Linked DNA regions of Mus musculus. The protein of the gene in region 2 purifies or fractionates together with the protein of the main gene of each other region. This does not show direct contact. Links are inferred from orthologs where the notes say so. Each region holds a gene or a part of one and is shown on either strand. Other genes may lie near its edges.

Region 1 (6,125 bases), on a different chromosome or scaffold from region 2:
ACCTTCGCTCTGGAGCTCTCGAGTAGCTTCTCTTCATTTGGGAGCTGGGGAAGAGTTCGCCTCTTCCTCTCTCCCTGACTAGCCAAGGAAGTTGTACAACTAGTACTTCTTAGGGAAACACCAGCGTCACCAGTATCTGTCTCTAAAATAAAAATATCAAAGCAGAAATTCATGAGAGCAAAAGGACACATATAAAAGGAATGTCTACTAGTTACAGCATAAGTTTAAAAATATCCTCAGTATAAAATGAATGCCTTCTGTGAAAAATTTGTACTTCCTAAAAAAAGAAAAGAAAAAAGGGCAAAATATCTTAGCTTTTAGCAAGGCATTAAAAAAAAATTCCATGTAATATTTTGTATATGCTTGGGCCAGGGAGTGGCACTATTAGGAGGTGTGGCCTTGTTGGAGTAGGTGTGTCACTGTGGGGTGGGCTTTAACACCCTTATCCTAGCTGCCTGGAAGCAAGTATTCTCCTTGCAGCCTTCAGATGAAGATGTAAAGCTCCCAGCTCCTTCTGCACCATGCCTGCCTGGATGCTGCCATGTTCCCACCTTGATGATAATGAACTGAACCTCTGAACCTGTAAGCCAGCCCCAGTTAAATGTTGTCCTTGTAAGTGTTGTATTGGTCATGGTGTCTCTTCACAGCAGGACAACCCTAAGACAATCCGTATCAATAGAAAATATGAAAATAGTAAAAAGTGACAGGACTTGTCATAATTTTATAACCAAGGGACTGTTAAACCATAATTTTCTGGTATATTAAGTAAGGCAGCTTATTAAAATAAATGACTTCTTTCTTTTTTTCAATTTAGTAGATCCCAATGCAAAAGTGAATACTTTTGAGGTGATAAGACAGAGACAAAAAAATTTGATCATATTTGAAAGAATTTAAAAATGAAGGGATCATATGTGAGTCTTTGTTTTGCATTTTAATGTGTAAAATTAACTGTAAAGCTTTTTAAGTGTAAACTGATAATTTAGAATACTATATACTTATGTAGTACAAGGTAACATTATTACTAAAAAATGAAATAGAAAATAATTAAATCAATATTTGACACCTTAATTTATAATATAAATTCATACATATATGAATCATGTGCAAATTATTACCTTATCTTTATGATTACACTATAATGGTAATTACATATTTTTCTAACAGATTGGCATATCAAGAAGGGTTAATTTTTTGAAGTTTTAAAATTGTACTTGAACAGCAAAAATTTACAATAAAAAAGCAGAGTGTCTGAAAATGAAATACTAAATCTTAGTAGTTATCCTTTTGTCTTTGGAAGGTTCAATTTATGAACTACACCAAAGTTTTTAAGGAAAAAGGACTTGGGGTTAGGTGGCATAGCATAGCATCTTGTATAATATATACACTAGTCCTCAGTTTACTTCATTTAAGCTTAATTTACTTCTAACTGTATTAAGTTTAGCTTGTTTTGTTTTTAAATACACATGGTCCACTAAAAGAGGGAGGGAGGAAGGGAGGGAGGGAGGGAGGGAGGGGAGAGAAAAGAGGTAAACATGGAGGAGGAGAGAGAAATTACCGTTTTCTACAGTTGCAGACAATTCCATTAACCTTTCTTCTGGATCATGCCTTGTATGATTAGCAGCCAAACTAGCCCATTGTGAAACCCAACGTTTGCTTCCAGATGAAGATATGGCTTCCTAAAGGAGAAAAACAGAGAGAGAGAATGCAACAACCCTGCCAATGCTCATTTTCATGAGCGAGAACTTCATTCAGTCACAGCATGTGACACAGAAGCCATGTCTCAAGCTCAGCTTGTTATGATGCATTGATTCTTCAATCAAGGCTCTCTAGCTGTTCCGTTCAACCACAATGTATTCTTATTATGAACGGAGTATACAATCTCCTGTGCTTCTTATACACTAACATGGTACTAGGTACAACAGTTATTCTGTTGCCAGAGGAGGACAGACACAAATCACAGCTTTGCAGCTAGCCCAGTGCAATTGGTTTTATTCCATTAAAAGGAAGAGAATCTAAAGGGTTATTAATTAAAGTTACCTGTTAGTCCTATACTTTCTAAGAAATCAGACTGGCTTCAGGGTTTCAAGACTTATCAAATATACTAGGTTATATTTTAATAGATTTCAAGAAACCAAAGCCTGGGCTGGAGAGATGGCTCAGCAGTTAAGAGCACTGACTACTCTTCCAGAGGTCCCAAGTTCAATTCCCAACAACCACATGGTGGCTCACAACCATCTGTAATGGGATCTGATGCTCTCTCCTGGTGTCTCTGAAGACAGCTGCAGTGTCCTCATATAAACAAAAATAAATAAATCTTAAAAAAAGGAAACCAAAGCCTGGTATTTCTATGATATTTAAGCTGAAAATAACACACTATGAAATTTGCTATACCCAGTCTGTACCCAGACCCATCTATGTTTTTATCTGTCTTTGAACCCTTCTAGTGAAGTGTGTATCCCTTAACTCATGGACATACCCTAGCATTTGTAGGCTGAGGGTAATATAAAAGTTATCTATCTCAAGCTGAAATCAGAGGTGGGATCAGCCTGTGAAACCTAGTGACGTACAGAAAGGGAGCGTGGGGATATATAGTTCTGTGGTAGAGACTCACTTAGCAAGTACAAGGCAGGTTCAATCCCTAGTACTGTAAAGAACAAAGACACCTCTCACCCAAACCTTAACTCAGGCAGCCATTCACACTAAAAATATAAAACTACAAAAGTTCATTTTGAGCTATTTAAATATACCTTTTTTTAAAAAGTTACTGTGTTAATTATGAGCAAACTGATGCTAGATACTGATAAAGTAATGATTCATGTAGACAATATATTGTATGGTATCAAGAATAGATTGAAATAAATGTAGAGAAAGATGTATATAGACAAACTGGACACCAAAGTTAGCAGACTTCTTGGACTCCCTTCCAAGGTCTTACAATCCCCATCTATAACTCTTGAGCACCAAAGACAGTACCAGATGATCCTGCACTGTGCAAAGAGCATCCACAACAGAGCGGCTTCACTATTATATACTTATGGCATGTTGTGCTTTGTTCTAATGGCCTGTTACACGATGGCTACAAAGACAGTAACTTACTGGAACTATATGAATTTTACCTGGCATAGATGGAGGAAGAGAGACGAGGGAATCTAAAGTAATTTACAAAAACCTTTCCCTGGATTTATCAAAATACCAACACACTGCCTGATATCATTACTAATATCATCTGTTTTCAGTGAGTAAATTAAACAGAAATTAGAATAAAACTTCCCTAAGTTTAAGAGAAATAAAGAACACTAAAAGCCTGTAATTGTTCTAACAATTTTCAGAAAATAGCAAACCGCAGGGTAACAATTTTAACACTATTGAGCATACAGATCTATTTATCTGTCCCTAAAAACATATTTGTAGGAATATAAATGAAATAGTAATGTTATGTAACTTGGATTTTCTTTTATTTACATTTTATATTTATTCATCACTCACTTACTCCTTAGAGAAAATTAATCTAAAGAGTAAAGTGATGAATTAAGAAAAAGGCTGGAGAGATGGCTCAGTGATTAAGAGCACCCGACAACCTGAGTTCAAATTCCCAGCACCCACATAAAAAGCTGATCATGACTGTGTGTGCTTGTGACATCAGCAGCAACAGTAAAGGCAAGCAGCTGGGCAGCCCAGTCAAAGTCCTTGTCCTAAAGGAATAAGGCAGACAGTAATAGAGGAAAACATGCATGTGCTCCTCTGGCTCCCACATGCATGTGCAACATACACGCGTGAATGCACACACGCACATGCACACACAGTGCTCACCTCAAACTTAAAAAAAAAAATCAAAGTCATTTAAGGTTTCTGGCCTTACAAATGACAAGATTTAAGATAGCAGCCAAGTTAATTTGCACTGCATTTTCCTTATTTTTAAAACAGCTTGAAGGCTGCTTCCACTAGAAGTCACTGCCTGTTATCTGAACCAGTAACATAGGTGTTATGCAAGTATATTCCCTTTTGCTACATAGACTGGAATGGAATTCTGATGTCATAGTTATGTGGTCAAACTGTCCTCAGTTACATCACTCTCCTTACATCCAGGGTACCACACTGGCTCTTACATCAGTGATCAGTTGTTCTTACATGACTCTCCTTACATCCAGGATACCACACTGGTTGTTACTGCAGCGATCAAGTGTATCCCTCTCATGTTTCCTGCTCAGTCTTCTAATTGCAAACACATAACCCCCACAGAATATAAGCAGGGTATATTTCTTGTTTTGTCTCATTGTGCTACTTACAAAGTGGAATATGGAGCTTATTACGTGTTTGCTGATTTGTAATTATTTCACTCACTAACACTGAAAGGACAATGAAAACTAGAATTGCTTTACATTTTCATTCAAAATTATAAAAAAGTCCAAATTTAGTTTTTTAAGCATTTCACAAGGGGAGATATATATACTTAAAATAACTTCCAAATGATGAAAACTTGTATTTTATGCTATAAAAAGAATTGCATACCTCTGAGTTATGAAACCCAGGTGTACTCAATGGCTTTCTTTCTTCCATTACTACTGCAGCAGAGTTGAGAGCCCAGTCTTTTATGAGACCTTTATGCTTTTCATTGATAATAGGCCTATTATAATCCTGATTGTCATCTACTCCAAATACCTAGAAGGAAAAATTTGTTTCAAAATGAAAATAAATGTGGGCACCAGATTAGTGTGTGAATATCAACAGCATCAAAAGCAAATAAAAAAAAATTCTAAATTACCCTCAGCTGGCAATTTCAGAAACAAGGGAAACTTGTGTAATGACAGGGTGACTTCCAGCTGGACTGGACATGAAGCCAGCAGCTGTAGATGTGACTATCCTTAATAGTTAGCAAATATTCCAGCTGATGAAACTAAATATTCAAAATACTACATTAGATTTGTTTAAAGGACTTGACATTAAACATTAAAATCATGGAACGAGTCAAGAAAATACTCGAGCACACTCTCAGCTTGTTTCTTGTTTCCATTTTGGAGAAGCACGTTAGAGAGCAGAAACACATGCCTCTTTTTATTTGTTTTTTCACTAAAATGGTTATTTACATATATAACTTGCATTTATACCTATAATTTCCTATGGTTCCAAACAAATTTCACTGTATGATTTTCAAACAGAGTATAGTAATTTGTCTGAAATGCAGGTTCTTGACCTACTCACACAGATCAACTTTAGTGACTATCAATGGTCAGCACTTTGAAAAGCTCAGCACAGAGACAATAGCCATGCCAATTTATTTTCCCATCAGGCAAGACCTCAGTGTTAGTTACTTTCTGGCACATGAAGGGACTTGGATATTAGACCTTGCAAACAGATGAAAAAAAAAAGCTATAGTGAATCACATTTAACATTTCGTTTTACTATTCAGTTTGAACTTGTTTATTACAATAAAAACATATATCATTGAACTAGTAATCTGTAGAAATAACCTTTAGGACCTCCACTTTTTATAAGAGAATACCACTTTCAGTGGTGCCAACTCTTTTCACACTGACACATGACTCTCATTTGCATATGAGTGTATTCATAGCTATATTGGCACATATATAGTGCAAAGGCTGTAGGTTGGGCATGCCTGCTACACCAAGACACAGAAAAAAGAAACTGATGGTCATAAAGTGATCTGATAAGTGAAATGTGAAAATTTTACCACTAGATGGCTTTATGGCTTAATTTAAAGACAAGTTTTTTTCCCCCAAGAATTTGGTTAGAATTATCTTTGCTTTACGTACAGGCTGCACGTTACTAACTTTAAGATAAATAAGACCTTTAATAGTACATGGAAACCAGGGTATAGATGGGAGTACAGTTTCTTTGCTTCACCTTCCTAAACAACAGAGTGGATTAAGCATGACAAAGAAGGTATACCTGTGTTCTGTCACTTTACCCTGATTTATAAGGAAAGCAACACTAGCTGCTGAAGTGGCTCATGTGTGACTTTTACAAAATGGTTCACTTCAAATTTACTGGTTCATTTTGTTATTTTTATATAACTAGAAAAATCTAACTCATTTGAAGGTAAAAAAATAACCATATATAATTTCTTACATTTTGCATCAGTATGGCATGCCAATTTATAGTTTCTG
Region 2 (6,125 bases):
TCACGTGTATCCATACATGCATGCACGTGTGTTTATATCCATTTATATGCACACACATATGGAACACTGTGCTACACTTATCAAATATGTGTATTCCACTTTGATACCATGATATTTATACAATGGTTCTTACTCAAATTTTGTCTGTTCCTAAGTACTGTCTCTAATAGAAGCATTGTTTCTCATCTAGGTTCACATGTTGTAGCTGTCTTGGCTTTATTATCGTCTTTATTCTGGAGTACTTCCCAGTCTTAACTTAGTATTTGGACTTGGGCTTTCTGCAGTGTACAGGCCAGTCATGTAGAGTTTCCCTCCATGTGGGGTTTGTCTGTTTTCTTCATCTTTTGGTTCAGACAATACACTTGGAATATCCTGTGTTGAGTGGCTTTTGTGCTGCTGTAATGAAATACCATGACCAAAGATCATGTACAGAAGAGAGAATTTATTTTACCTCATGCTTCAAGAGAGAGAGAGAGAGAGCGAGAGAGAGAGAGAGCGAGAGAAGCACTCTACCCTTTATGTCAGGGAAGGCCTGGCCTGTGACAAGAACAGGACATCAGCTGATGATCTGTCTGCACACAGGAAGCAGAGAGAGCAGGAAGTAGGGTGAGGCTGCAAGTCCTACAGCTGATCCCTGGTGACTGATACCCTTCCAGCAACACGGCGAGCTCCTGGAGGCTCCATTACCTCTCCGTATGGGAGGACCAACTGGGAACCACGTGTTCAACCACGTGACCTATGGGGCCATTTCTCATTCGGACCACCACATTATCCAGTTTAGATGGAGTTAGATCCTACTATAGCATGACGATTCTCAGTACCAACCTTCATTCTTTCATCCTCCACACGCTGCCCACCAGATTCTCTTTCAGTGTCTCTTTCCTGAGCTAGCCCAGCCTCGGGCGGTGTTATTAAAACTCTACTAGGGGGCTGGTGAGGTGGCTCAGCGGGTAAGAGCACTGACAGCTCTTCCAAAGGTCCTGAGTTCAAATCCCAGCAACCACATGGTGGCTCACAACCACCCATAATGAGATCTTATACCCTCTTCTGGTGTGTCTAAATGAATATTTAAAAAACAAAACAAAACAAAAAACCTCTACTAGGTGACCAGAGCAGGCAGAGTCTGAGAGCCAATAAAGAGGAAGAAGGCCCAATGAAAGGATTGGCTGAAAGTGGTCAGCAAGGCCTGCCTGGGGTCTGGGTAGCCAAAACTCAGAGCTGGACCATGGTTTAAAGTGAGGCTAAGAGAATGCATGGCAGCCCACAGTAGGACTCACAGGAGGAGTGCTGTGGTATGCTTAGGTACCTACTGCAGATAAGTGTAGTACACACACACAAGATTTGCCTTTCCTAAACTGGGGCTCTGGGAAAAGACTGTCTGGAGTCCAGGACTTGGCCTGTCTTGGTTTGGAGCAGCTTAGGTGAAGCTCTCAAGCCAAAGACCCCCTTCTCCAAGCATTGGACATCTCAGTCACCTGCTTATCTGGGAAGTAGAAACATTGTTAGCCCAGGCTTGTCCTCTCCACTTACAGGAGTGACTTTGCTGGCTTCAGCCAGTCGGGACAGACTCATCCATGTGTTAAACGTGGAGAAGAACTACAACCTGGAGCAGACCCTGGACGACCACTCCTCCTCCATCACAGCCATTAAGTTTGCTGGTAAGCTCTTCCCTCCCTCCTGCAGGCCCCCAGCAGATGGGGCTCTTTGTTTGCAAGGAAGCACAGTCGTGCCCTGTGGCCTGAGAGAAAGGAGTATCAACCAGGGGAATCTAAAGACTGATTTATGATTTACTGAAAATATCAGTAATGCTACTTTAAAAGTGATTGGGAGGCCTCAGCAGTACTGTCTCGAACCTTTAATCCCAGGACTCAAGAGGCAGAGGCAGGCGGATCTCAGAGTTTGGGGCCCACCTGGTCTACAGAGTGAGTTCTAGGACTGCCAGGGTGACACAGAAAAACCCGGTCCTGGTCTCAAAAAGAAAAAAAGGACTTGTTTTGGTTCACAGTTTAGGAGAAGATAGAGTTTTGGGTAGGAAGACATGACTGCAGAGTAGGAGACAGTATCCACAGTCAGGAACAGAGAGGTGCATGCTGAGGCTACTCCATACAGGGCTGCCCCCATTCAGGGAGGGTCATCCCGCCTTGGTTAAACCTCTGCAGGTTTCCTCACAGTCACCTGCTGTGTTACAGAGGTGGTTGATCTGGTACTGCAGCTGTACCAGCACAGAGGCAGAAGAGATGGCTCAGTGGGTAGAATCCTTATAAGTAAGCATGGTGATTTGAGTTCCAATCCCTATCACCCACATAAAAAGCTACCTGTAATCCCAGTGTTGAAAGTGTAGAGACATGAGGATTCTTGTGAACTCCAGCTTCAATGAAAGATGAAGACCTAGATAAAAAAAAAAAAAAAAAAAAAAAAAACTAAGGTGGAAGAGGCAGACACGATGGCTCAGCTGGTAAAAGGTACTCGCTGCCAAGTCTGATGACCCTGGAACCCACATAGTGGAAGAGAGAACCAGTTCCTGCAGGATGTCCTCTGACCTCCACATGCACACTATACACTGTGTGTACAATAAGTTAATGTTAAGAAAAGGTAGACGGAGACAGGAAGATACCTGCTTGAGTCTTTTAACCTGTGGGATCGTGGGCCTATAATCTCACTACTTGGAAGTGGAGATAGGTAGATCCTGTGCAGCCCACACTAGCCTCAGACTTAGTGTGGAGCTAACTAAGGATGACCTTGAGTTGATCTCACCTCTGTTTCTTAAGTGCTGGGATCACAGGCATGGATCACACACACGGTTTTCACTTGTTCTGATTTATCTTACAGTACTGTGGCCTTGAATATACTAAACAAGGGTTGTACCAGTGAGCTACATCCCTGGCCCTTAGTTGTTCTTGTTTTTTTGTGACAGAATTTCCTATAGCCAAGCTGGCCTAGAATTTGAGTTCCTCCTGCCTCGGCTGCCCAAGTGCTGGATTACAGAGTGCTGGGGTTGCCAGTGTGCACCACCCCCCGTGTCCTGTGTGCCCATGCTCTGCCCAGACCTGCCTCACACAGTGTCTTAGAAGGCCTCCCACCAGTAGGAACCTTTCTGATCCTAATAGAGTTGGTCGCTTGCCCTGAAGTAGGATTTCCTAGCTTCCCATTTGCCTCCTTCCTATGTAGCATAGGGTAGCCCTGTCCAGCCCCTTCTCCTCCTCTTCCAGGCACCAGAGATGTCCAGATGATCAGTTGTGGAGCTGACAAGAGCATCTACTTTCGCAGTGCCCAGCAGGTAAAGTGGGGTGGCCTCCTTGGGGACTAAGATCAGGATCTTGTCAGGGGTGCCCTCTGAAGGTCTTGCCTGCCCTGCCAGGCCTCGGATGGACTGCACTTTGTCCGTACCCACCACGTAGCAGAGAAGACCACCTTGTATGACATGGATATCGACATCACACAGAAGTATGTGGCAGTGGCCTGCCAGGACCGCAACGTAAGGTGAGGAGTTCCCTGTGCCCTTTGTTGGCCTGGCCCCGGCTTGCTTCCAGCTTGGCCTAGTAAGATCTTGCTTGCTGACTGTCTTCTCCCTGAGGAGACACTGCCTGCTTTTTCTCACTGTGCATCTGTTTCTGGAGAAGCTGGTAAGGCTGATGGACCCCGCCTTTGTTTCTTAGATGTGCGCTTCAAGCAGGCAGGTATTATACCTACTGTGATAGCAGTTCTTAAGCTGGGATGAGGTCACTCTTCAGAAGAGCTTTATGAGGAGAGCCAGAGGCTCTTGGCTGTAGGCAGCCATGTGGATAATATGACAGAGGTCCCAAAGGCAGTGGCAGCCTTTCCGTTTCCAGAATATTAGGAGAGGCACAGCCTCATGCTAGTGTGATGAGATTTTTTTTTTGTTTTGTTTTGTTTTGTTTGTTTTCGAGACAGGGTTTCTCTGTGTAGTCCTGGCTGTCCTGGAACTCACTCTGTAGACCAGGCTGGCCTCGAACTCAGAAATCCACCTGCCTCTGCCTCCCGAGTGCTGGGATCAAAGGCGTGTGCCACCACGTCCGGCTGTAATGAGATTCTTAAAGGGAGAGAGAGCTGGAGCACTAGGAGAGTTAGTGCAGTCTATGACGAGCACAAGAGAGTCAGTGGTAGACCCTTCCATGCCCAGAGTGTTAGGTCTAACATAGGCAGCATTGAGGGGCCCCAAAAGGAGAGACGGGCCTTTCAGTTCTGTAAGACAACGTAGGTTTCTGAGGGGCTCAGGGTAGGAGGATTCATGTGCCCTAGAAGTTACACGGCACTGATAAAAGTAGTTATAATTGAAGGCTGTCTCCCAGCTGTCTGAGGGAGAGAGAACTCAGCTCTGTAAGAGTCGCAAGGTCACAGCAGCTCTGCTCTGTAGCTGAGAAAGACTGCAAGAGGACAGAGCCTCTCTTCAAGGGGAGGAGAGTGTCAGAGGATCCTGATCCTCATAGCAGTGTGTGCCTGTAATCCCAGCACTGGGGAAAAACTGGGGGTTCAAGGCCAGCCTTAGGTACATAGCAGCAAATTGGAGGCCACCATGACCTACACAAAACTAGGTGCCTCCAGCAGGCTTAGCCAGCAGCAGCCCTGCAGACTGTGGCTCTCCTGGGTCTGTGCGGACAGAGAAGTCACAAACTCCTCATAGCTTACTTAACTGTCTCACTGGGCACGAGAATGCTGCTGTCACAGTGGGGCCACAGTAGCCCAGCCCTCCATCATGAAGCTCAAAGTCCAGGAAAGTGCACAGTGGTCAGGCCTGAAATGAAGGGAGCCTTGGGAGTCCTGAGTGGCCTGTAGGAGGGTCAGGAGTTGTCAGGGTTAGTTAGCCTGGGGAGTGTGTTCTCTGCTTCCTTCCTGGCTCCTCCTGCCTGGGGCGAAGCCCTAAACTTGCTGTGTGAAAGGGAGTCGATGCCAAGTCAACAGTGCTCCAGGACATAACCTCTCTGCCGGAGGCGGGGCTCCCTCCCAGATGTCATGGAGACTGGAAGAAGCAGAGGCTTCTAGAGCAGAGGGCAGCAGGGCCAGGAGGAAAGGAGGTGTCTTCTGCTCCAACATGGCAACCCCACTTCCCCAGGGTCTACAACACCGTGAGTGGGAAACAGAAGAAGTGCTACAAGGGTTCCCAGGGCGACGAAGGGTCCCTGCTGAAGGTGAGGGTGAACCTCAGACATAGCCCCCAACACAGCCCCCACTCTCTGTTGTCCGAAGGTCTCTGTCCTTGGTGCTTATTAAACACTTGCACTGAACAGTGCGTACTCAGACCTGGCTAGCCAAGGGTGCTTGAGTGGAGCAGAGGGAGGAGTCCTCTTGCTGAATGCACTGTAGTTTGGGTGACCGTGGGGTGTGGCTGGAAGAAGCAGAGAGACTTTCAGTCCTTTCCTGGCTTGTTCTCCCACAGGGCACAGAACAAGCAGGCACTTCTCAGAGACTCTGGCCCTAGGGAATTGTTCTTAGGTTAGGGTCCCTGAAGAGTTACCAGCTGTACCTCAGACTGACTGTGACCTTGGGCAAGTGTCAGTCCTGTTTGATCGCTGTCAAATGCAAATAAAAGCAGCTTCTATGCTAGGGTTGTTCTGCAGAGGGTTAAGTTCCCAGGCACTCAGTCCTTAGCCTGGGCCTGGCCACCACCATTTCTGCCCTGGTGGCTACTAATTCTTCACCAGCAAAGTGAGAGCAGAAACTGCTCTCCTGAGTTGATTCCCTGGACCAAGTGTCCAAAACAAGAGAGGTGGTCCCTCGGGGTGGTACTGAGATGTTTGGCCCAGGCATCCAAATTGGGATAAAGCACGCAGCTCAGGGTGACATGTGACTCTCCCCTCAGGTCCACGTGGACCCCTCAGGCACCTTCCTGGCCACAAGCTGCTCTGACAAAAGCATCTCCTTGATTGACTTTTACTCGGGCGAGTGTGTTGCCAAGATGTTTGGCCATTCGGGTAGGTGCCTGCCTGTGCCTTCTTTCCTGCACCCACAACCTGGCCCAGATTAAGAATGGCCTCTCCTTTGCTTGCAGAAATTGTCACTGGCATGAAGTTCACCTACGACTGCCGCCACTTGATCACAGTATCTGGAGACAGGTAGGACAAGTGTGGAGGCTGCCCTGGGTGGGCCTTACTCTAGGAGTAGGTGGG

Evidence for each region. The genes of interacting proteins can lie anywhere in the genome.
Region 1: the proteins of Wdr62 (region 2) and Cep170 purify together in Homo sapiens (affinity purification with mass spectrometry; 3 studies listed by BioGRID and IntAct, with this or other methods). This does not show direct contact. The link is inferred for Mus musculus from reciprocal best matches to the Homo sapiens genes WDR62 and CEP170.

Annotation. Positions count from the first base shown.
Region 1 is NC_000067.6:176,756,842-176,762,966, forward strand, and holds part of Cep170 (centrosomal protein of 170 kDa), read right to left. Parts: intron 4,660-6,125; coding exon 4,510-4,659; intron 1,677-4,509; coding exon 1,556-1,676; intron 143-1,555; coding exon 1-142.
Region 2 is NC_000073.6:30,251,338-30,257,462, reverse strand, and holds part of Wdr62 (WD repeat-containing protein 62), read left to right. Parts: intron 1-1,532; coding exon 1,533-1,658; intron 1,659-3,209; coding exon 3,210-3,277; intron 3,278-3,358; coding exon 3,359-3,480; intron 3,481-5,071; coding exon 5,072-5,147; intron 5,148-5,818; coding exon 5,819-5,930; intron 5,931-6,007; coding exon 6,008-6,071; intron 6,072-6,125. UniProt on the Homo sapiens protein: Required for cerebral cortical development. Plays a role in neuronal proliferation and migration.